Linked DNA regions of Drosophila melanogaster. The protein of the gene in region 4 interacts with the protein of the main gene of each other region in a biochemical or structural test. Each region holds a gene or a part of one and is shown on either strand. Other genes may lie near its edges.

Region 1 (5,940 bases), 1.1 Mb from region 4:
CCAATGGCTAAGCTTCTTTTGCTGATAAGCTTATCAATAAGTAATTCCCAGCTAATTATGAATCAAATTCGACTAAGTTAGGAGCTAAAAGTTCGAAGCTTTGAATGGGAATAAAACGATATTTGTCACATTTGACAGCAATTATGAAGAAAATAAGTAAATAGTACAACGACGAAAACGATAAACACGAAATAATATATAATCTCCGACGGTGTCAACTTTTATTAGGGCAATTTTGAATGGTCGAATGCTCGAATCGTTTGCTATTTTTATTTTGTGTGCCGTGTTACTTGAAAAATCATAATGTATAAAACTAATTAAAAGGTAATTAATTCGGTTACATCTAGGTTGGCTTCGCTCATCACCACCCATTTGCAGTCAAAAGTTAAATTGTACAGCCAATCGATTTTCATTGCCTTTCAAGCAAATCAAAGGAAACATTTTTGCAGTCAAGTAAATAATGCCCGAGCACCCCAAAAACATTCCCAGAATGCCGAGCCAGACCACATCGCACCAGACCTCATTTACCCAAGCGTTGGAGCCATTTCCATTCTAATGGCCAAGACAAATCGTTCGTACGTACATTCGCTTTCAGCCAAGAAAAACGACCGACACGCGATGGCCGAAAATTGGAGGAAACCGCAGCATTTAATTATTTTGCTATAAAACTTTTCACGATTCAATCAATTCAGATTCGGTACAACATGGCGTATGCGTAATGGGATTCAGCTATATTTTTCCCCGCATTGTTTGTAAAATTGTGTGGTGGCGTGAATTGTTTGTAGAACTTGGGCTTTGGTTGGCGATGTAAATGTGAATGACAGATCATTTTAAAGTTTAGTTGGTTTTTGTTCATGCGGAAAATGAAAAGAAATATATATAAGGTATAGTACTCAATCTCACGCCGGGTTATCAGGGAGACTAGAATATAAAGCCCCGCTGGGATTTTCTTCTTGCTGATTAAAGTTCAAGTCTTATCAGTTAATTGAAATAAGTTCAAAGCAATTGCATTTGCTCTCTTGGGTTTTCCGAAAAAGTGTACAAGTATTCAATAAACTGATCAAGCTGAATTGACTCTTGAAAACAAACATAATTAGTATAAGTTTGTTATATTATTTTACAGTAAAAATAGTTTTGAATCGATTACTGGTGGGTGAAAATACTATAGCTTACATGAAGCTTCTCATTGTGTATTCTTTAAATTTTAATTTAAATTTTAATTTAAAGAATAAGTAATTCAAAGGTTTCTGATAATTCTTAGCAACATATATTTAACCAGCTCTATCCAGAGTTCATCGTTTTGACCGTTTCTCAATTGTTTACCAATTAGACTTGCACCCTACACACAAATGTGTGTACAGGCTGTGACCTTCCTTCTCCCGCTGGCATTTAATTTACAATAACTTTCAATTCGGAAACAAGTCTGCTTAATACAATTGGCAAAGTTATAGCTAGACTGCGACTTTATACTGTATGTAAGCAATCGCACACACATGGACCAAAAGGTGTGAAAAGTGCGGACTTTGTTTGTGTTTTATTTTCTACAATTACCGAAAACAATTCCGCTGCCGTTGGCATCATCGGTTCATCGCCCAATACAAGTTAGATAGCTGCTGGCTGGGAGCAGATAAATCGATATTTGAGTAAGTTTTGACCATGACTGTTCCATTTCATTCTATTTTTATGGATTCCGAAACGGCCAAATGGCCGAATGTTTTGCGTGCGGATAAGGCAAAAGTCTTAAAGACTTTATGCCATTTCGTGTCTTTCGATTGCAGTTTCAGTTCCACGGTTCAGGTTGTATATTCCTTTGATTACAAATGAAATAAACGAAATCTTCCAGATGCCACCGCAAATTTTTATAAACTTTTGCCGTGCCGATTTCAGTTGTAAAAATATTTACATTTTGTTAATATAAATATTTGCATTTGCTTCGATTTTTTTTTTTTTGACCATTGAATTCCTCTTCTTTTTGGCTCCTCTTGAGCAGATTTTCTTTCACATTTGGAAAGTTATTTAAAGACTAACTGAGTAGCTATATTCTTCCAATTTTTTATATCAACGCCTAAATTATTTCCAATACAACAGCTTGAAATGTGAAAACGTCACAAACAGCTTTGGCACTATAATTTTGAGATAAGAGTTATAATGTTTATAATTGCATACATTATTGCTCTTGGGAGGAAATGTCTACTCTAGGGTGCAGTTCCGGCATATGTTATGTGCAAATGTACAAATCTGAACCAGTATGTTAATGATTTTTCGTAGTCGACCAATAAAACAAGAAAGAAACACTGGGACTACTAGTAAATGTCGTACTGAGTGTTATTCTCTTTTAATAAATCGCAGTCAACCGCCTTTCTTGTTTTCATTTGCATATATTATACGCCTGTTGGGTTGCAAAACTGCAGTTACACTAGCAGAAATATATATTTGCTGATAAGCAAAAACATACCATATTTTAATAAATATTTACGAAGTATTGCACAAAGTCTATATTTAATGTATTGATATAGCTATGCCTATAATCTTTCGGGTGTTTAGGTTCAAATCAAACAGGAAGTAGATTAAAGAAGTCACAAAAATATTTAAAATATTTCCCGCATGGACAAAAAAAACAAAATAAAAATAATACACTAAAAATTAAAATTTTTTGTCGTTTTTTTTTGCGATTACGCAGTCTAGTGAACCCGGCCGTATTCCCGTTTTTCACTTCACTATTAATAAATACAAATTTCATTACACGTGGCATTAGATAAGTAATTGCCCGCATCGGAAAATTGTGTACTTATTTATGTATCTGGGATTAAAATTTATGAATTCCGCCGAGTTGCTGGCACGTAGTTTTTTGCAGTGCCATTGCAATCGAACCTGACACGGGAAGCTGTCTGTACCTAAGTTTCTAAAGCCGCCTTCTGGACCGGGGACTTTACAAACTACGCCTTAAGCTAGCTAGCTGACTATAGTTTCAGAAAATTTATTATAGCTAACCTTTTATGGTGTAGTAGGTAGGCTGCTTTAAATGCTTGATTAAATTTGGATTCTCGATCCGAATGCACTGGGTCAGACAGAAATCGAATTAGCTCTTTGTTGTGTTGACACGTGTAATTGATTAAATTTGTCTTTTATGATTGACTGGTTTTCGGTTTATGTGTCGGACTTATCGCGCGCGACTCACAAAAGGCGCGCCAAAAAAATTATGAAGAAATTGAAAACAAAAACAAAAGTTGCTCCCACAAGCGACGTTGTTGCTCCGCTCATGTATTTTACTTTTGAGTTTTGTTTAATTTTTGCTATTGACACTGCAGCCGCCTGTTTAGAGCGGACATTGATTTATACACACATCTGTAGTTTACGTTGTAGTTGTCGTGCTTCGTATAATTAACCAATACACTGGCAGCTATATAGTCGCGTGCGACTTGCACAATATGCGTTATATGTACATCTATATGTATATATATATGTATGGATATCTATGTGTGAACAAGTCGGCGCTTCACGTCCGTCGGCGGCCAAGTTCAGATTGAAACTGAGCGGTTCGCTTCACACTCGGCTGCAAGAGAGCTTCGGAATGGCTTCGATAGCTCAGGCTCCATTCTCAGCTGTTCGCTCTCTGCGATCGCATGCATTCGGTTCGTATACTTGATACGTATACGTGATACGTATACGTGATAAAAAGTTACCGCTGCTGATATGATGGTTGCTGATCGCAACTGACGGAGGGTGCCAATATCTGTTTTTATTTTCGAAACTGCTTCACTTTTCCTTTATTTATTTTCATTTCCGTTGTGCGTACTCAATGTTTCGTTCTCTCTAATGTATTTGTGTTCAAGTGCGTTCCTATGACGCCATCGAGCAGAAAAAATGGTTATAGATTTTTAAGTGGATTTGGAAAAGTGTTGAGATTTTTATAACGCTCTGCAGGTGTTCCAATTTCGATTTTCGGCTATAAGTAAACATTGATTCCCTTACAAAAAAATGTGTACTTTTTGCTGGGAATGAAAATTTATTGTTATGAATGGTTTGGAAATATCATAAAAATTCAAAATACCTAAGATGTTATTTCACATGAACTCTTTTCTCATTAAAAATTCGTTTAAAATAGTGCACAGGTTTCTGGACAAATCAAGATCAAAGGTTTATTATAAGATCAGATAGGAGGAAAAGTTTTTCTTTATGTGAATCATTCGCCATTCTGGAATGAGAAGCCGAAAAAAATCGACAACTATTAGCCAGATGCATAACAATAGATCTATTTATCTAATATAGGTATGACAGCTGAATGTTTTTATTGATTTTCCCAGGAATTGACAGACCTGAAACGAGTTCGACCCTCGGCAAATGTAAATTATAAAATCCATACAACGTTGCTAATTCACGCCAACAAAATTCCCAAATGAGACCGAAAAAAGATTCGCCAACGTCTAAGGTCGAACTGAGTTATTAACTCAATTTTTGGCTTCTGTTCCATAGACAGATTTTAGTCATTGAAATAAACACAAGTGCAGACCAAACACGTAGGGGAAAAATATTTGCAGTTAACATTGCCAATCGGGTGGAAATATTTCATTATTGTTGTGCATGAATGAAAATAGTATAATTTATTTCTGCTAGCCCACGAAAATTTCGAACTAAAAACACAGTTTTCATGTAGCGTGGGCTCGTCTGCGGACAAAATGCATTTTGGGAGCAAATTTCCCGGCCGCAATTTACATCTATATAGGATTGCAACAAAGCCAAGAATACCTCAGGACGTGCAAAAATAAACTAAACTATTTCAGCTCTGGGGTTTGAGAAATTTTAAGTTAGGAAAACAGATATTTATTTATTTAGCAATTTATTGAGCAAATATGAATATTTAGATATAGATGAAAATATAGTACGACAATTTGTATAACTTTTTGAACATGTTATTATCAAATTTACAATTGTAATCCACACTTTTATTCTATTATTTTAAAATTTCTTGCTCTTTATGGCTAGGGATCACTGTAGAAGGATTTTAGTTGCGATTGTGCTTTTAGCCATACATGTATGACAAATGCCCCATGACGTAGTAGCCACTTTCAGTAAACATATCAGACGTCACAGAAATCTCCAACTCTTTATTAAGCTCCCCGAAGAAGAAGAGAAGAAAAAAAGGGGGAGAAGTCAAAGACTCTACCCCCGCCCAAACAACTCCCCCTGCAATTCTGGCACATTTGCGCTTCAAGGTCACGCGCGTGAGCGGGAACGAGAGGGAGAGAGAGAGCGAGGAAGAGAGAATGCAGAAAAACAAAGCCAAGCCCCAAAGAAATCGTGGAAGGGGGTGGAAGGGGGCGAAGGGGGCTTGACGGCGGAGCGCATAGTTGAGCAACCACTTGTTGTTGCTGCCGCTTTTATTGCTCCTCTTCAGCCAGCGCCAGTTTAAGGCCACCAAATATGCACTGGGAGAAACAAATAGCACATACATCTTAACAAAAAACACTTAAAGATTATAGATTTCTGGATATTAAATGGCCTATTGAATTAAGTGACAAATAATATCTAAAGTGGATTTTGTTGCATTTGTTGGTTTAGTATTTTATTAAAATATTAATTTTAACATTTTCTTTAAAGGCATATTTTATCAGATGCCTGAAGCATGTAAATTTAAAAAAAATAATTTATTATAAGGTGAATAGTGTTAAAAAATGCGAAATAGAAAACAGATCTACAGCTTTTTCACAGTGATTGAATTAAGTCGAAAGGTCTGCGCCGCCCTCAAAAGAGGTAAAGAAACAAAGCGCGTAGTGCATTAACATTCAAGACATTCGGCTGACGAATAATGGTGATAAGCAAAGGAAGGGGACGAAGGGGAGCCGTATCAATAACACGAACAGCCAAGTTACCGACGAACTCGAAATGTTTGAGTAGCAGAAAAGCCATGATACAAAAAAATGACTCAGCCTAGTTCAGCGA
Region 2 (5,311 bases), on a different chromosome or scaffold from region 4:
AGTTCCGCTTGTTCACCGAGTAGTTGGTCAGGTGCATGTACAGATCGTTGGCGTTTCCGGGCGTGGGCTCCACGTACTTGTTCGTAGCAAATCTGGCCAATCCCTCGTTGTACACGAAGATGCGCAGGGGATCCACGGAGGTAATCAAGGTGTACACACGCAGATCGAACTTGTACCCATCGATGAGCAGGGGCTGGAAAAGTGGATGCGATGGTTAGCCAGCGTATGGGATTCCGGATGAACAGCGGATACATTACCCTGTGTATGTACGTCTGGCAGATGAGGCGCTCATGTGGACCTATGGTCTTCAGGTCGTTTGTCAGCCAGATGCCACGACCCTGGGCACCAGAATCCGGTTTCAGGATGAACGTGCGTTTGTGGTTGAGCGCGTAGTTCATGGCATCTCCATAGCTGAAATCGTTGGTATCAATGATTAGCACTTTCAGTGTGAGGCTGGGGTTTACTTACTCCGCCGGCAGCATCCAGGTCTTGGGAAAGATCTTGTAGTCCTGTGGAAAGATCTTTAGCATTCGATTTAGATTCCGCGAGAGCAGATCCTTGCGACAGATCTCGATCATGCCCGGAAAGTGATTGATCTGCTGGAAGCGCTTCATGTTCTTGAACAGCTCTACGCCGGGAAACGAATCCGACCAGAGGATGTTCCACATCTTGGACTCCTTAACCAACTTGTAGCCCAGCGTCTTGGAGATCTTCCCAATCATGGCGTAGCGCGAGTTGGACACGCAGATGGTACTCTTGGTTTCGCTGGGGGATTATGTTAGATGCGTTATCCAATAAGGATCCAAAGCTAAGGAAGATCACCTGGCTGGCCGCTCCTCGTCGACGTTCATGGGAGGATTGAGCACCCGAGTGGGGCATTCCACTCGGTAGGTCTTGTTGTTCAGTTGAATGAATCCCTGCAGCTTGGCTTCCTCAGCAGGCATTGGGCTGTTTTCACCAGAAGATGGTCCGTAATATGGGGAGTTATCATCCACTTGCTTGTCGGCGGCTGTCCTCCTCTTGAGGCACCGGGTCTTCTTCATCCGGCGGCGTGGGGACATGGGCTGCAGTGGCGGTGATTGCTCCGGACTGAACCATTCCCGGTCCAAGCACGGCTGCTCATTAAGAGCCATGTCCAGGGCGCGAACAACGTGGGTCCTCTTTTCGCGATCCTTCCGTATTTTCTCCTTGGAGAAGTGGCGCAGCTCCTGAATCCTCTTGAAAAACTTGGAATTTTTTAAATTCATTGTCTCGTCCGCTGGTCGTCCTTGATTAAAAATTGAAAATTTTTCACGTGCTAAAAGCTATATCTATAAAATTGATTCGTGTCAATGGTTAGAGCCGGAATTCTGCGTCACGAATAAAAACAATATTATTTTGCGATGATTGTGTTGTGAAAATGAAAATAATTATAACCGAAATGACGCTAAAATCAAAACGTAGCTCCACTGGCCACGTCGCTTGAGTCGTTTGAGTTTTAAATCATCGATTTGGGGCATATCATAAATTTAGTTTCTCCGAACATCAAACATACCACTAACAACTAAGTGTACAAAAATATTTAATAAACAATAGGGTAAGCATTTACAATTTAAGCATAACAATAAGTCTTTAGGGAAATTTTCGTTGGAATGTTAAAGTTAAAAATATATATTGCGATTGATCACAAAATGTGGAAATGGTTTACAAATGGTCCTTCGAGCTTTTCAAGTTCGTCAATAAAATGGTAACATAATAAGGCCCATCTAGTCGGTAACAAACGGTTCGAAACGCTTGAGCACCGCGTTCATGGATGGGCGATCCTGCGGATCCAGGGCAGTACAGTGCAAGCCCGCCTCGATGGCGCACATGCACATGTCCAGCTCCTTGCCCATCGGTGCTGCTAAGTGCTTCTCTAGCAGCTCCATCCGGTTTTGCCGCCACTGCTGCTTAACGTAGTCCAGCAAATTCTTCTTCGTCTCGTTTTCCGGCACGCGATCCGTCACCTGACGACCCGTGAACACCTCCAACAGCACAATGCCGAAGCTGTAGACGTCCACGCCCGTGCTGAGTTGTCTGAAGTTGCGGAACTCCGGTGGCAGGTAGATCTTAGTGCCGAAAACTTTATTCACTTCCACCACAGCGTCCAAGGACTTGGGACCCTCGCGCACCAGACCGAAGTCTCCGATTTTTGGCTGCAGACATTGGTCCAGCAGGATGTTGGCCGGCTTAATATCTCCATGAATCAGCGGTGTGCCTCGCGCCGTGTGCAGAAAGTAGATGCCTCTTTTGGAAACGAAATGAAAAGTTAAAGAAGATTGATAGCACTAAAGAAACGATAAATCCCACCTAGCCGTGCCGAGGCTGATGCTAAACCGCTGCTGCCAGGTGAGTGCTGGTAGTGGGTTTTGTGCCTTATGCGCTCGTAAACGAGCCTCCAGGGAGCCGCCCTTCATCAGCTGGTAGACGAGGCACGGCTTACCACCTTTGATGCTGTATCCGTAGAGGGCCAGGATATTGTCGTGCCGGATGCTGTTTAAATACTTGAGTTCGTTGTAGCTCTGCTGCAGCTCCACCATTTTCTGGTCGATGTTGGGACTGCGGTAGTTCATCACCTTGATGGCCACGTCCAGTTGCTTCCATTTGCCGCGGTACACGTCTCCGAATCCGCCCTGTCCCAGTCGATTATCCGGACTCCAGCCGTCCGTGGCGTTTTCTAGCTCCGCATAATCGATCTCCAGCAAGGATTCGGCTGCCCGCTGTACGGTGCTAATGTGTATATTGCCCAGGGACTCCAGGCTGGGTATCTCCTCCGTTGCCGTTGTGCTGGTGCGATTGTTGTTTGAGTTGCTGACGCCCGAGGAGGAGGGAAACGGCGGGCCGTTGTTTACTTTGGCACTGGAATCGGGAGCAGCGCGCAGCTCGCTGATGGTGGGCACGCTCCTCGGTATGTACTTGTGCAGATCCTCGCTAACGTAATCTTTGATCAGACGCATGGCGTTATGAAGCTTCAATCTAAAGTAAGAGGAGTCATTTCTGGGATCTCGGCGGTTATTATCTCAAACTGACTCACTTTTTGAACAAAGCAAACAATGTTTGCACCGTGTGATTGTACTGACCGCCCCAAATGTTGAGGAACTCATTGGAGGCTGAGCGGCCACGCTGCTTCTGGCTGCTTATCTGCTCCACCTGGTCGGGATAGAGTTTTACGGCCGTGGCCAGCTGTTGCCATACGTCTAGGGCATCCAAGTGGGCACATAGCTGGGCTCGCACGGGCAACGGCAGCAGTCGGATGGCCATTGTGTTGTCCAAGTGGGAACGCGACCTGGTCCTGTTGCCATTCGCTTGGTTTTGGGCCTGCGCCTCGGCTTCGGCGGTCTGGACGCCACTCATCTTTCACTTATGGGCGGGCGGTTCAACCGGTTGCGACTGATTCATGCGGCTCCGGATGCAAGAGTGCCCGTTGGATGAGGGGTTGGCGGCGCTGGTAACCTGTTGCAGCGAAACGAAAATCGCTTTTGGGTAAATTCCCAACGCGATTCGATGAAAACCTGTGGATGACTTGTTAACAGCGGCGCAACAAGTGATAAAGCAGCTTAACAGAGCGAAGCAGTCTGGCAACGCTGCCAATGTCTAGCAAATAATACACTCGAAAAAGTGGTAGATGCTTAGGAGCCACTGTTTAAAATTCAGAAGTAAAAAGAAAGCAGAGTAATTATTAAAAAGGTATTTGCTGTATGAAAATATTAAATAGATTTTAAATAACCTCCACATATTTTATGTAATTTGCACAGTATTTTGTATACTAAAATATCTTAAAAAATACCAAAGGCAATTAGTGTATGACCAAATGAGCCTTGCAGTTTGGCGGACATGCGTCGTTTTCAAGTGCCCCGCAGGTGGCCACACTGCTGACACCGTCACGAACGCATCGCTATCGCTAATTCTTCGCTTCGCCCATTTATAATTCAGCAAATACGTCAATTAGCCCCACCAGCGAACGGAAAAGCCTCAAGCTGGCGGAGAAAAAGGTCCAAATGGCGCTATGCCAGACATCGGTGGTGAGTGTGCGGCTGGATCCCCGAGATCCGGTAATTGTGTCAGCGGCGGTGGCTCCATTGCATTCGACATATGGAAGGCATCCTACCAAGGAGTTTCTCCATTTCCTCCAGCTTCACCTCCTTCCGCCGCCCACGCGGGAAAGTGAAAGCTTTCCCAGTGGTCATGGTAGTTACTACAAAACGATAGTTACAACTGCTGAAATCCGAGATACCAAAACTGCAAACCTCTCGGGTGTGGATGTGTGTGCATGCGAGTGCGTGTCTGTCTGGATGTCGCTGTGTTAGTGCGTTCGTTGCCTTGCAGTTTTGTATGTTTCTTGCCCTCTGGATTTTCCGATTTTCGGCTTTTCCGCGTAGTACTTCAAACTCCCATGGGGGGTTATATTTAGCAGTAATACACGCTGCGTAGCTTGTGCTATTATCTACAAGTCGGGGCCTCCTTCCTTATCGTCCGCTGATAACGCAAAACAAACTATTAATAAAACAAGCAACTGGCATACCGGTGTATATATATGTACAATGTACATATATATATATACCAGCATATGCATGGTATCTATGTACATATGTGCACTGCGACATTCTTCGCAAACAAATAATTTACATACTTTATTTGCGTTTTGCATATTCACATTACAGCTGCGTCTGAATTTTAATGGGAGCTCAAAAAGGCTCACCACATACTGTGCGCCACATTTTCAACTTCTATAGCGTCTTGCCCTTTACTTGCTTCGTGGATTTTTTGCGCAATCCCTATTGTTTTACCCCCAACTGTTTAGGCCCTAATAGCGTGAAGTTGAGCCGCGATAATATAATGAGTGTTTAAGTCAACACAAGCCCAGATTTGTCGTGCATTTCAAATTTAATTATACACAATTAACCGCATCCCCTCTCGCCCGCAGCTGAAGGTGTACCATGCCGTGATCGAGGACGTCATCACAAATGTGCGGGACGCGTTCCTGGACGAGGGCGTCGACGAACAGGTGCTGCAGGAGATGAAGCAGGTCTGGCGCAACAAGTTGCTTGCTAGCAAGGCCGTCGAGCTGAGCCCGGACTCCGGCGATGGCTCCCATCCGCCACCCATCGTGGCCAACAATCCAAAGGTAAGCGAAACGGAGCCCTTGGGTGGATATTCTCATCGCGAATCCTTGTGTCTGTCTAACTTAACGTAGAAGTCCATACAAATTGTGATATCTTCATCCCAAAAAAAATTTCCAACTAAGATATCTTGCTTTATCTTTCTTATGCTCCACCACTTGAACCACTACAAT
Region 3 (5,585 bases), 1.1 Mb from region 4:
TCATTTTTAAAGAATTATTTTTTACGTTGTTTTGTAAATCGCTGATGGCTCTTTTAAAATCGTCGATTTGCTTATGCAACTCATTGACTGAAATACCAGACGAACTGGCTGCCACAACTTGAGCAAGGACCTTGGGGCAGGGGCGTGGTTAGCTGTACACTGAAAGAAATTTTAGTGACTTAGCATGTAGCTATGGGGGTAAGTAGCAACTTCGCTCTTACCTTCACATTGAATGGGACACCGACAACATTGTTGGGTTAGTTGCCCCACCGCTGTCAAGGACACGTGCCACAGGAAGTTCAAAGAGTTTAAGGCGAAAGTCCGACAACCGGAAAAAATCAATAATGTCGTATACACGGGGTGCAAATGTACATATGTGTATGTACATGAAAATGACTGCCCCAGCACGTGTCAGCTTATAAGGGGGCAGGATCCATTAAAAATTACCTCGCGGGACTGGACGAATATCGCGTGATTTTCGTGGAAAACCCGCTGCAATTGGTTGCCGGCCTTGTGGGAGTGGGAGCTTCTCCATTCACCATTGTTTGATCGATGTCTGGACTCCATTAACCGGGTTGTTGTTCTACGTTCGTGCCATCAAGACATTGCGAGTTGACTTAGTCCCGCAATTCCCCCACTCCAATTCCACGGGCGGCGATGGCAATTGATGTGGAATTTCAATACTAACATTTGACATAATTCCTATTTATTTGCGCTTAGCTCACGTGCACTTATGTATGTATGTATGTTTACCAGGTGGCATGACCTTCGTGCCAGTGTGGTTTTGATAACGATTTACGATAATGGCGGAAAGTCCTTTTTTATGCATATGTACGTAGTATTGGGAAGAACTTAAGCATGTGGATTTTGTGTCACCGACCATCCAACTTTAATTAATATTATTTTTATTCTTATTTACTTATAAATTTTTCACAGTAATAAAATAGGAACATTTAGTACTTATTTGTAATTTTGTCATGAAATTATAAAAATACTACCTGGTTCTTTCGCATGTATTTCAAACTGATAATATTTCGTTTTCCAAATAATGTGACAATTATATTTTCTATTCATCGTTCATATTTAATAATTTGGTTTAATTAGCTGAAAAACCCAAAACATAAAAATCCTTATCTAACGTGCGACCACTTTTTAAGCGATGTATTCAATTATCAACTGTACTGACCCCCATTTCCCCAGAAGGTGAATCAGCAATATTATCAAATTCCGCGTAACAAGCCGTCTTGAATGTCAGAGGTCCTCCGCCCGGAAAGTGAAAGCTGCTCCGGAATGCTGAGCACGAAGCAAGTGAGTCACGGCATTGAGACTCTGCCGCAGTGGAAATTAATGCCACAACAAATGCCGGCGCAGGATATTATCCTTTTTCCAGGAATCGTACGCTGATTCAGACCCCCCAACCGCATGGGTGGGAGTGGGGTCTTAAATGGATAGCTCGCAGCCACACACACAGATAGTTAGTGCTCACCGTGCTGTTTCATTCATAAAAGCTGAAAAAGCTTTTCGGAGGCAGTCGCTCGTGGAGATGAGTCACATGTGAAAGACACTGAGATAAATGACGGAAGTTATTTTTTCCATTTATATTTTACTTTTCGTAAATATGCATATATAGTTGGAATATTCGGCTATTTAAACGAATCTCACATTGAAAATCGAATTCTTGATGATTGGTTACCATACAGTTGAATTCTCAATATTTAAGAAAAACAAAATATTTATATTTTCCGATTCCTTTGGGATGCTCCTAATAAAAAGATATGCATTTTCAATTAATTAGGTATTCCTTCAATATAATACGTGTTATAGATTTAAAAGGTGACACATTTTAAAAGCTTTTGAAAGAAACAACTGGCCTGCATTCCTACTAATCGGTATCAGTCAGATAAAAACATTTATATTATATGTATGTATATATTGTTTCGCCTTTATGCAATCATCGCGTATTCCTCGAAACTCGGATTTGTGGAAGATGTGGACATCTGTAAGCTATAAGTCGCAAGTGGAAAACTTCAATCGTACGTGACTCAGCACATGCTGATCTCGCACTCTTCGCCAAGCTAGGCTCTTCGGATTGTCTCTCTTCTGAGCTTAAGTCGAGACTGCAAAGAGCAGAGCTTGGGGCCGACTACTTAACTCCGTTGAAAGCTTCGCGATCTGCAAGTTTTGCGGTATTTTTCAGTGGCGCATACGGTATTGAAAGTTTGGCTCGCCTGTTTCTTCTTGGTGGGCAGTTAGTGTTCAAATCGCGGGCGTCGAGATCGGTTGGTAGTGCGTGTGTTACGGGTATTTTATCTCCACCTCCAAATTGTGCCTTATTTACCTTTTTCGCTGTGCTTTAAGCTTCCGCTCTCTTTCGCTCTTCTGGAGCTCGAAGGCAGGTTGAAATACCAGTAGATAAAAATAAAACGAAAAGTAAAAGAGCTGCATAAAAACGCATAAATTCAATTGAGCTCTAAGCAAGTTTCACTTGCTTTTTCGTATTACGAGTGACAAAAAAAAGAGACCCACCAATATAACGGAGGAAAAAACAAAAATAAAAAACTCGGCGCACGTATTGATAATTTCTATTAAAACTGAACGTTTACCGATTAGATTACACGGCACATCGACACTTTAACCACAAACATCGCAAGAATAACCAAAGAAAATGGAGGGCAGAGCGCGATAACAAATTACCCTAAATTATAAATCGAATAAATCGAAAAACAAAAACAAAAGGTAGTCGTACGTCGATGATCGCATAAGCATAAAGCCCGGAATTCCCTAGAAAAAATCGACGTCACGCGCTCTCTCGCGCTCTTTGCCCACTCTCTCTTTCTTCGGACTTCGATTTCTTAACTTTTCATTAGTTTCTGTTCGAACTGTTCTCCCCCATCCGTTGTTTTTGTCGTTATTATCGATATTATCGCACCCGCTTTGTGCGCGCGCAAAAGTTAAAAAAGAATAAAATAAGAAGAATCAGAAAGAGAGAGAGAGAGAGAGTGAGTGAGAAAGGGAGGGAAGAATAAATTATTTATATATAAAAAATAATAAATAAACCGGTTCCTGCCGTGCGTGCTTGTGTATGTGTTAACATTAACATGAAAAAAGCGCCATATTTCTCAACTATAAATAAATGGCTTATTTAGCTCGCTGTGCAACGGACTAATTTTCCAATTAACACAATAAGAAACTTAACAAATAATGTACATAAAAGTGTACTAATTGGTTCGCGTTGAATTTCAGGTGTCCGATTTACTTAGCAAACCCAGTGATATCAATGCATATAAGCGAGATTTCAGATCACTCCTTGACTTAGGTGAGTCCCCCTATAGAGCCTAGCTTAATTTATTGATTCTGAACATTGATTGCACGGATTAATAAAGTGCGGTGGAAAATCCTAATGGCTGCGTTTTGCGAGAAGGGTCTTGATATTTTAATAAATATGTACACAACTATTGCTTCCAAAGACGCAAAATGTCATTACAAAGAAACGCATCTTGCATTAAACATATTAAAAATATAACCTTATTGAGTCATTGGACGCCTTATCGTTTCGGAACAATGTTTACAGCAACAACATCGTGATTTATCAACCATTATTCACACTTTTAAGGTTTGATAAACCAAGACTGGTCACTTTTCTCGCATATTAATATTTTTCATCCTAAATAGTTTTAACATTTTGACAATGTTTAAAATTCCTGGATGCTAAGATTTGTAATAGCTCACAATTTCTGCATGACAAATAATAGTTAAGATGTTAAAAAAAAACTATTAGAACGTATTCAATCCTTTGTAGTGTAACCGCAGTTGTTGTTGTTGTGTTTTTTGGGTGGCAATTATCCACCTGCGTATTAAATAATCTACGGTGAATGCAAACGATAAACTTAAATAATACAACCGAAACACCTGTGTACATGGCAGCGCAGTCGCAGTGGCTTTTCGACGTCGCCATAAATGAAAGTTTCTTACGGGCACGTGGGTGGGCGAGGGGGGCCGTGGGGCCCAGAGGGGGTGGGGCTCGTGGAAAAGCTTTTGCCCCTTGTATTTATTTATTTTTTGCTGCCACTCAAATACGCCGGAGAGGTTTTCAATTGTTTCATTCTAAGATCGACTCGATGCGCCTGCGGTCGTGTTTGCGCTAACATTCTTTTATTTTTATTAAATATTTTTAAAATTCCCTAACGGTTCGATATTATTTTTAAGTAATAATTTGAAAAGTACCATTTTGAAAGAACAAACTGCGGTTAGTGTGCGTTTTGTGGCCCAAATAAAAGCAAAAAGTGAAACCGAATTCGTCATGAGTGTTCACTGGTTCTTGGTTTGATTCGCAGGTAATTATGAAGAATGAAGAAATGCTTTTAGCTGCTAATACGGTGTAAACTCGAAAAGTGCAACCAAGTTAAATGCAAACCGTGTGCTGACTCATAACATCAGACTCTCGTCTCCGGGACCAAAGAAAATCAAAGCGCTAAAATCGCTCAACTCGTTTCCAGCAAGTCATCGGCGATTTACAAAGCTCGAGTAGAGATTTGTGTGCTAACAGAGATCTAAGGCCAAGTCAATAGATAATATTGGTTATATCTACTGGTAGTTTCCCCGTATGCTAAATCCGAGTCATGATTGATACACGATCTGGCTGTGGGTAAGGCCCTCCGCTATGCAAATCATCAATCAATAGGGATTCTATTTTAGGCGAATATCATTTAAACCACTCGATAAGAAAGATCGTGGCCGTTATAATTGGAGATACGGATAAGATATGTATCTGCATTTTTGCCGGAAGTCACATGTGCACAATAATCCCTGATCGGCTAATTTAACAAACATTGTTTGGTGTGGAAAATAAGGATAATGGACTTGTATTCATACGATACAAAACATAGCTTTTGGCAACTAGTTCCATCGATTTGTCAGCATATCGGTTATTTATTTTTATTTGAGCTGTAAATTGCTTGACGCCAACGATCGTTAAAAAACATTTGTCTGTCTGGAGTTCTTGTTTTTTTTTTTTTTGCGGAACCCGTTTCACTGAGGAATTTTTGGCTGCTTCTGATGCTTTGATGTTGATCTTAATCTTAATTTGTGGTGCTGGCGCCAAAAGAACTTTTTTCTGTGTGTCTTTGCTATTGGAAATTGCATAAAATTAGCATGTTAAATGATCGAAACGAAATGTTCATTTTATTTTGTTTACTTACCTTTTTTTTTTATTTTTCGCCAAAAGTAGTTATCGTTGAACGAGTAGAACGTTATTTTATTAATTCATTTTATGGCTTAACAGCATAGACTTTTTTCTTTTGAATTTATCGTGTGGATTTTTGCAAGACATGGTGAAAATTAATAGCTAATCAAATAAATTATTTATTGTTTTGAGCAAACGAAGGGCAAAACCATAGGAAATTCCAATATAACTCCCCTGCAAAACACTTAAACCAAAAACCATCTATCGATACATTCTCAGGCCATCGTCATTTAGATTTATTTTTATATTCTTATCTTACTTTTGGTTATCTTTGAGTTTTTTTTTCGGATTTTCTACGCTCAACACCTGAGCGTTATCAGTCTGAATGCCGCAGGTTCTATCT
Region 4 (5,999 bases):
AATGAACAAGGAACAGGGAGGGGGCTTGCTTTTTTTTTAAACGTTTTGACGAGCGAAAATTTCAAGCGAAATGTTTCGGGGAGGCCAATGTATTTTTGGCATCTGCTCAAAGGCGTCTATATAGCCCATAACCATATGTACGTCTATAACGTACATATATACAATGTGTACTATATGGCAGACGACAATGTCTCGCAGTTTGGCTAGCCGTTGGCGGGACACCATTTATATCATATATGTATATGTTCATATATAGAGCTTTATATAATTGGTACATTTTTGGCACAGATTCATATTCTTAATGATAAATGCCTGAAAATGCTGGGCCAAAAATATTCACTTTACTAGAACGGAAAAATTCCTACAAGTTTGCGAGACAAATAGCTCGTGATTTCCATACCCAAGCAATAATATATTGCTATCTATACGAAATTGTGGAATCAGTAATATTAACTAATTATTATTGCTTGAGTGCGGTATATGTAACTAGCACTTTACTTACCATCGTAGTTGCGAATCTCCAGATCGGCGGGCAGGCAGGCGTAGCTCAGGGAACTGACCGCTTTGTCGTTGGATCGGTGTCCATATTGTCGGTGGGCCTCATGGATTTCCGTGGCGCCGAACTTCTCTGTCAAGGCACGGACGCACTGTTTCTCTCCGGCGATGCAGGAAAGATGCAGAGCTGTGTTTCCATGACGATCGCGCACCGTGGGCTATTCAAATGAGTAATGGGAATCTTTTGTTACAAATATAAATACTTAAATTAGCTTTTGTTAGAAAATCAAGATGATATGACATTACATTCGTCAATAGGGGATTAAGCTAGATTTTACAAATATGCAAATATCTAAATCTTCTTATTCGATCTTTGTTGAATATTACCTCAGCTCCGGCGAGTAAAAGTATCCTCATGATGTTCGGCTGGGCAGTAAGAGCGGCCAGATGAAGGGGTGTCTGGGCCACATCGTTCTGGATGTTGAGCAGGCACGGATGAGGAGCCATGCGAATCAGGGCGGCCACCACGTCCACTGATCCCGAAATACAGGCCAGGTGCAAAGGTCTGAAATGAGAGAGAGAGAGCAAAAAAAACAACATGAATTTGTGGGTTTCTTTTACCTGGCGATCGAACACCCGCACTTTCTTTCCTTCCTGTACACTTGTCGCCGTTCATGTGGCGGCGTAAAAACCCAAGTAAGTTAAGTAGAGGTAAAGTAATGTGAAGAAAGAAGAGGTGCCCCGAAAAACCTGTTCCCGTACCTGCCCACATACCAGGAAAACCCCAAAGCCTGACTAAAACACATGTGTCAGTCGCGTTTCTCGCCTCAGACAATCGTCTTTGAGTGATTCACGAAACTCTCCCCTTAGCTCGCTTGGTGGTCATCAGTGCAACGCGGCGTTGTCTTTGTTATTTTGGGAAATTTTAGGATTCTCATCGGAAATACGGCACGTATAAGTTCATAGAAATTCGGAAATGATTCAAAGACTGTGCTTATAAATCTTTAATCGTGAATTGTCAATGAGTATGTTAAATTGATTTTTAAGAGCATGAAGACCTAAATTCTAATAAAGATTTTTTTTTGGCGATTGTGACAGTCTAAATATAATCAATCGTTTCCAATTTCAAAAAATACCGTCCAATTGTATAAAATATTTAAAATATAAAGTTCTTATGATTGCTAGTCTAAGAATAAGCATGGGAAAGTTTTTAAAGTGACCTAGAGATAAGGCGCTAAAATGTTTAAATCATACTTGGGAATTTCCCCACATTAAAAATACACATTCGAAGTTATCTATAAATGTGGTTTGCACATATATAAATAATTTGAAAGTCTAGAATAAAGTGACATTTCCTGAGATTCTATAATGTTTACTTACGTGTCGCCGTCGTCGTTTTGTTGATAGAACTGCTCCCAGGCGTTCATGATATTAATGCTGCTGGGCGGAGCGGATGATGTTGCTCCCGATCCCGAAGGATTCGCGTTCGCCGTGCTGGCTGTGGAGGATTGAACCTTGCTGCGACCGGTGATTTGGGTGCTGCTGCTCTGGCCGAGATTGTTAAGCTGTTCGCCGCGACTGACCAAATGGCTTTCGACGGTCCATTGTGGGATGCCTGTGTCCGCGCTGTGTTTGAGTCGCATTGAATCGGCGGTGGCAGTGGTGGTGTCCTGGTGCTCCTCCTCTTTCTCCTGCTCCTCCTGATCCTCTTCTTCGTCGATAATACCGGAATCGAGGACAACGGGCTGTTCCTTTTGGGGTGCCGACTCCTGCTGATCCTTATCCTGTTCCTCGCTATCGGGGACTATCTCCTCGCTGAAGATCTGCGAGGATTGCGGGCCGGAGATGAAGCCCGAATCACTGGTTTCGTTTGGCACGGCAAATTCCTTTTGCTTGTTAATGGCGGCCGTTTGATCTTGTGTTTTGCCGCCAATTTTACCGCTAGTGGCTAGTGAGGACGAGGGGTTAGCCGCGTTTGAGGGGGCGCGCTGCTCAACACTGGCAGCGCTGCAGCTGCAGTCACTTGTTGCTGTTGCCTTTGTTGCTGCCTCCGCTGCTTTTGTTGGGCTCGGCATTTTCGTGCTTTTCCTCTCTCAGTTGGGCTAAAATATATGTATATATGTTATATATATACTCCTGTCGTTTTGAACTTTGCTTTTGAGCCCAGTCTCTCAAACACACACACATACACACGCACAGTAAGCGCTCACCTCGGTGGTGCGAGTGAAACAAACATATAGGCTCCAGCGAACAAGTGAAAACGCAATAATTTTTGTAGATTAAAGGCAATTTATGGACTTATGTACAAGTGTAGCCGCAGAAAAATAAAAATTACGGTTTCACACTGGTTGAAAATTTTAGATTTTTCCATTTGCCAATGTCTTATTTGCCTCTTCACGGTTGTTTCACCCGCACACACCCACAATCACACTGAGGTAGATTTTTTATCTCCCTTTTCACACAGCTTCCTTTTCGCTTTTTATTTTCTGCACATGTTCTGGGTTTAAACCCCAGCACTATTTTCTATGGATTTCTCACTACCTTGCTGGTTAATTGTCTTGCGAAGCTGTCTTTAAAACGCGTATTTATGGTTTAAATGTTTGTAATCTGCAATTCGCATAGTACCCGGACGCACGTCTGCTTTCTTTCACGTTTCGATAGCGAATGAAATTGAGGGAGCGCGCTGATATGTATATATTTATATGGCAGTCTATACTATAAAGCCCCGTTTGCACTAAGAGTTATCACGAAATGAAGAGTCTCGATTTTAAATTTTCTTTACTTAGAAAACTGTTAATTGAAAAAAATCTATTTTTTCATATTTGCCCAAAAAAAATAAAATTCTAGACTTGAAAAGACCGAAGTGAAAACGTTTGCCTTAATATATCGACGATGGAGTGTGTAATCGGGGCTTAAATCAGTTTTACATGTGTGCGAGGGAGACCATAGGGTTGCCAGATAGTAGGGAGAGCGCCAAGTTAAAATCTCCCAACAACAAAATGAGCAGCTAAATGGTCAGCTGCAACAAAAGCAACCACAGCAGCGATGCGTTTATTTATACTTCTTACTCTCTGATTGTGTGATTGTTTAGTTCCTCGAGCGAAGCCACTTGATGTTGATGCTCGGCGTCCTACGGTTGAAATGCGTATGACGGCGAGGCGGACAAATATCTGGGAAATCACCCGCTGACCGAGAACGGAAATGAAATGCAGGATTCTTTCTTCGGTTTTTCACAGGTCAGCTTCGATTGAAACCTCGACCAATTCTGAATTTCATGGGATATTCTGAGCGACCGATTTGTCATACACTCTCCTTCTGGGATTTTTTAACACTCAATCACATTTTATCGCCAATTCATGAAATATTATATATACGATTATTTTGGTTTTTACAAGGTTGTATTGATTAAAAAATTATCTGAATCCAAGAAATTTAGAGGGGCTTTACAAGATTATCAGATTCTTACCATAAAACCTGTGTTTACGGTCACAAGTAGTTTCGAAAGTTTTTGCTCGCTTTTTTAATTTAAAATTTAAAATTCCGCCTCTCGTAGTTGTAAAGTTATTTATTATAACAAATAGGTTATTAAAAAATCGGACTTGTTTCCTAAAATTTTGATTAAATTGCTGGGAATTTGTAAATTACTCTTCAGTTTTAGGGGTTTGGTCATTTCCTTGTCGGGTTTTGCTTTTTGCTTTTGTATGACTTAATTAAATTATTCTTTAAAATTTAAATTCTTCGGCTTCCGATTGAATTTCTTGAATTATTATTTATCAGGCGTTCGTTTTTCTATTAAAAACAAGTGTTTGGTGCCAATCTGATAAATTTATTAAGGTATATAAACTTTTTAAATATTTTGTTAATTTCTAATTATTTGTTTGCTATAACATAAACTTTTATCGTTTTATTAAAACTGTTTTGCTATTCTCGTTATTATAAAATCCAAATATTCATTAAATGTTTTTCTAACAAAATTACGCAACAAAAATGTGACCTGCTAATAAAATTATAGTAGTGTTTTTTAATGTTTATTAATATTAACCAATTACTTTATCGCCCAATTTAAAAATTGCGGGTGATAACAGATGATTTTAAGAGCAGGTAAAACAACAAAAATTAAGTTGGCAGCACTTACCGGCCAATAAGTCAATTGCACAAAATCTTAAACGCAGGACCAGAAATATTTTGCAAAGGACGTCAAGGAATGCTGAGAAGGATGAACACTTTTAGTGGTCAAAAGCTGGCGGCTGTGGTCAAGGAGCTGGAGAACTTTGCTCCGACTTCTTGGGCAGAGAAGTGGGACAATGTGGGACTCCTGATCGAACCGCACCGCGAAAAACAAATCAAGAAAATACTATTAACTAACGATTTAACCGAGCCCGTAGTGAAAGAAGCGCTAGAGAAGGAGGCGGAGCTCATAATCAGCTATCATCCGCCAATTTTCAAGCCCCTGACCAGGATTACGCAGTCACATTGGAAGGAGCGCGTGGTGGCAGCATGCTTGGCCAACGATATAGCCTTGTACTCGCCCCACACGGCGTGGGATAAGAAGAGTGGTGGCGTCAACGACTGGCTATCTAAGGCAGTGAATATCATCAGCATCCGCCCTCTGGAACCGGAGTTGGGTGCTCCTCCGGGTACCGGATCCGGTAGATATATAGAAACCAAAATGGAGCTTTCCCAGGTGGTGGAGTCTCTGCAAAAGCGCATTAGAAACAGCGTGCACGTTGCTCTAGCTGTGGGCCACACCCCCAAGACACTCATCCAATCCGTCGGCATTTGTGCCGGCTCTGGAGCATCTCTGCTGAAGGGTATCCAAGCGGATCTTATCATTACCGGCGAAATGTCCCATCACGAAGTTCTGGAGTTTACTCACAACAATACCACCGTTCTTCTCTGCAATCATAGTAATTCAGAAAGGGGTTTTCTCCATGAGTTTTGCCCTATATTGGCCAAATCTTTAAATGAAGAATGCCTGGTATTTGTATCTGAAGTGGACAAGGATCCTCTGGTCACCGTGGCTAGCGATATAAACAAAGAACTAAGCGCATTTGTTGACGTCTACAAGAGCACATCAAAATAACTTTGATCTTATAAGCATTTTTTGTTTAACAATGCATTTTCTGGCGCATCCATAAAGGTTACAAATAAACTAAAGGATTTAACTTTCTTAACTTCTAGACTTGATCCAGCTTAAACTTGCCGCCCTTGCTGGCGGCGTCGTTTCGATTAAGTTGGTAGAGCAGGCGCTGCTCCAGATGTTTCACTGCAGCCACTGTCAGCACCAAAGTATCGTGCTTCAGCATAGAATAGACGTTCAAGCCAAAGGTTGGCATCAGGTTGACATAGCCCAGATCATCGCTAGCCTGGCAAATATTGGCGGGGAACATATGGTCTCTGAGAAAAACAGAATCAGTATCAATTTACATATTATATGTTCACCTACAAGCAGAACTCACTCGTCTACAATCAAAACAGAAGGTCCCCAATTCCGTTCGGCGATT

The links.
Region 1: the proteins of cact (region 4) and Dif form a complex in vitro, tested with the Drosophila melanogaster proteins (one study listed by BioGRID).
Region 2: of the proteins of cact (region 4) and pll, one has a biochemical effect on the other in vitro, tested with the Drosophila melanogaster proteins (one study listed by BioGRID).
Region 3: the proteins of cact (region 4) and dl form a complex in vitro, tested with the Drosophila melanogaster proteins (2 studies listed by BioGRID).

Annotation. Positions count from the first base shown.
Region 1 is NT_033779.5:17,424,665-17,430,604, forward strand, and holds the start of Dif (Dorsal-related immunity factor), read right to left. Parts: upstream 3,536-5,940; 5' UTR 2,992-3,535; intron 1-2,991.
Region 2 is NT_033777.3:27,249,586-27,254,896, forward strand, and holds pll (pelle), read right to left. Parts: upstream 3,598-5,311; 5' UTR 3,373-3,597; coding exon 3,053-3,372; intron 2,995-3,052; coding exon 2,329-2,994; intron 2,266-2,328; coding exon 1,746-2,265; 3' UTR 1,546-1,745; downstream 1-1,545. Other genes in the region: TTLL6B (tubulin tyrosine ligase-like 6B), read right to left, coding at 1-193, 258-411, 469-765, 823-1,247; TfIIA-L (transcription factor IIA L), read left to right, coding at 4,017-4,040, 4,943-5,143. UniProt on the Drosophila melanogaster protein: Plays an essential role in the Tl receptor signaling pathway that establishes embryonic dorsoventral polarity; the signal directs import of dl into ventral and ventrolateral nuclei, thereby establishing dorsoventral polarity.
Region 3 is NT_033779.5:17,447,027-17,452,611, reverse strand, and holds the start of dl (dorsal), read left to right. Parts: upstream 1-2,247; 5' UTR 2,248-2,736; intron 2,737-3,243; 5' UTR 3,244-3,316; intron 3,317-4,101; exon of another isoform or gene 4,102-4,334; intron 4,335-5,585. UniProt on the Drosophila melanogaster protein: Embryonic developmental transcription factor. The lateral or ventral identity of a cell depends upon the concentration of this protein in its nucleus during the blastoderm stage.
Region 4 is NT_033779.5:16,322,458-16,328,456, forward strand, and holds the start of cact (cactus), read right to left. Parts: upstream 3,751-5,999; 5' UTR 3,564-3,750; intron 3,169-3,563; exon of another isoform or gene 3,037-3,168; intron 2,964-3,036; exon of another isoform or gene 2,598-2,963; 5' UTR 2,571-2,597; coding exon 1,876-2,570; intron 1,061-1,875; coding exon 883-1,060; intron 714-882; coding exon 503-713; intron 1-502. Other genes in the region: CG4278 (uncharacterized protein), read left to right, coding at 4,700-5,578; mRpL4 (mitochondrial ribosomal protein L4), read right to left, coding at 5,673-5,892, 5,955-5,999. UniProt on the Drosophila melanogaster protein: Involved in the formation of the dorsoventral pattern. It inhibits nuclear translocation of the dorsal morphogen in the dorsal region of the embryo. Acts as a negative regulator of the NF-kappa-B (rel) signaling pathway.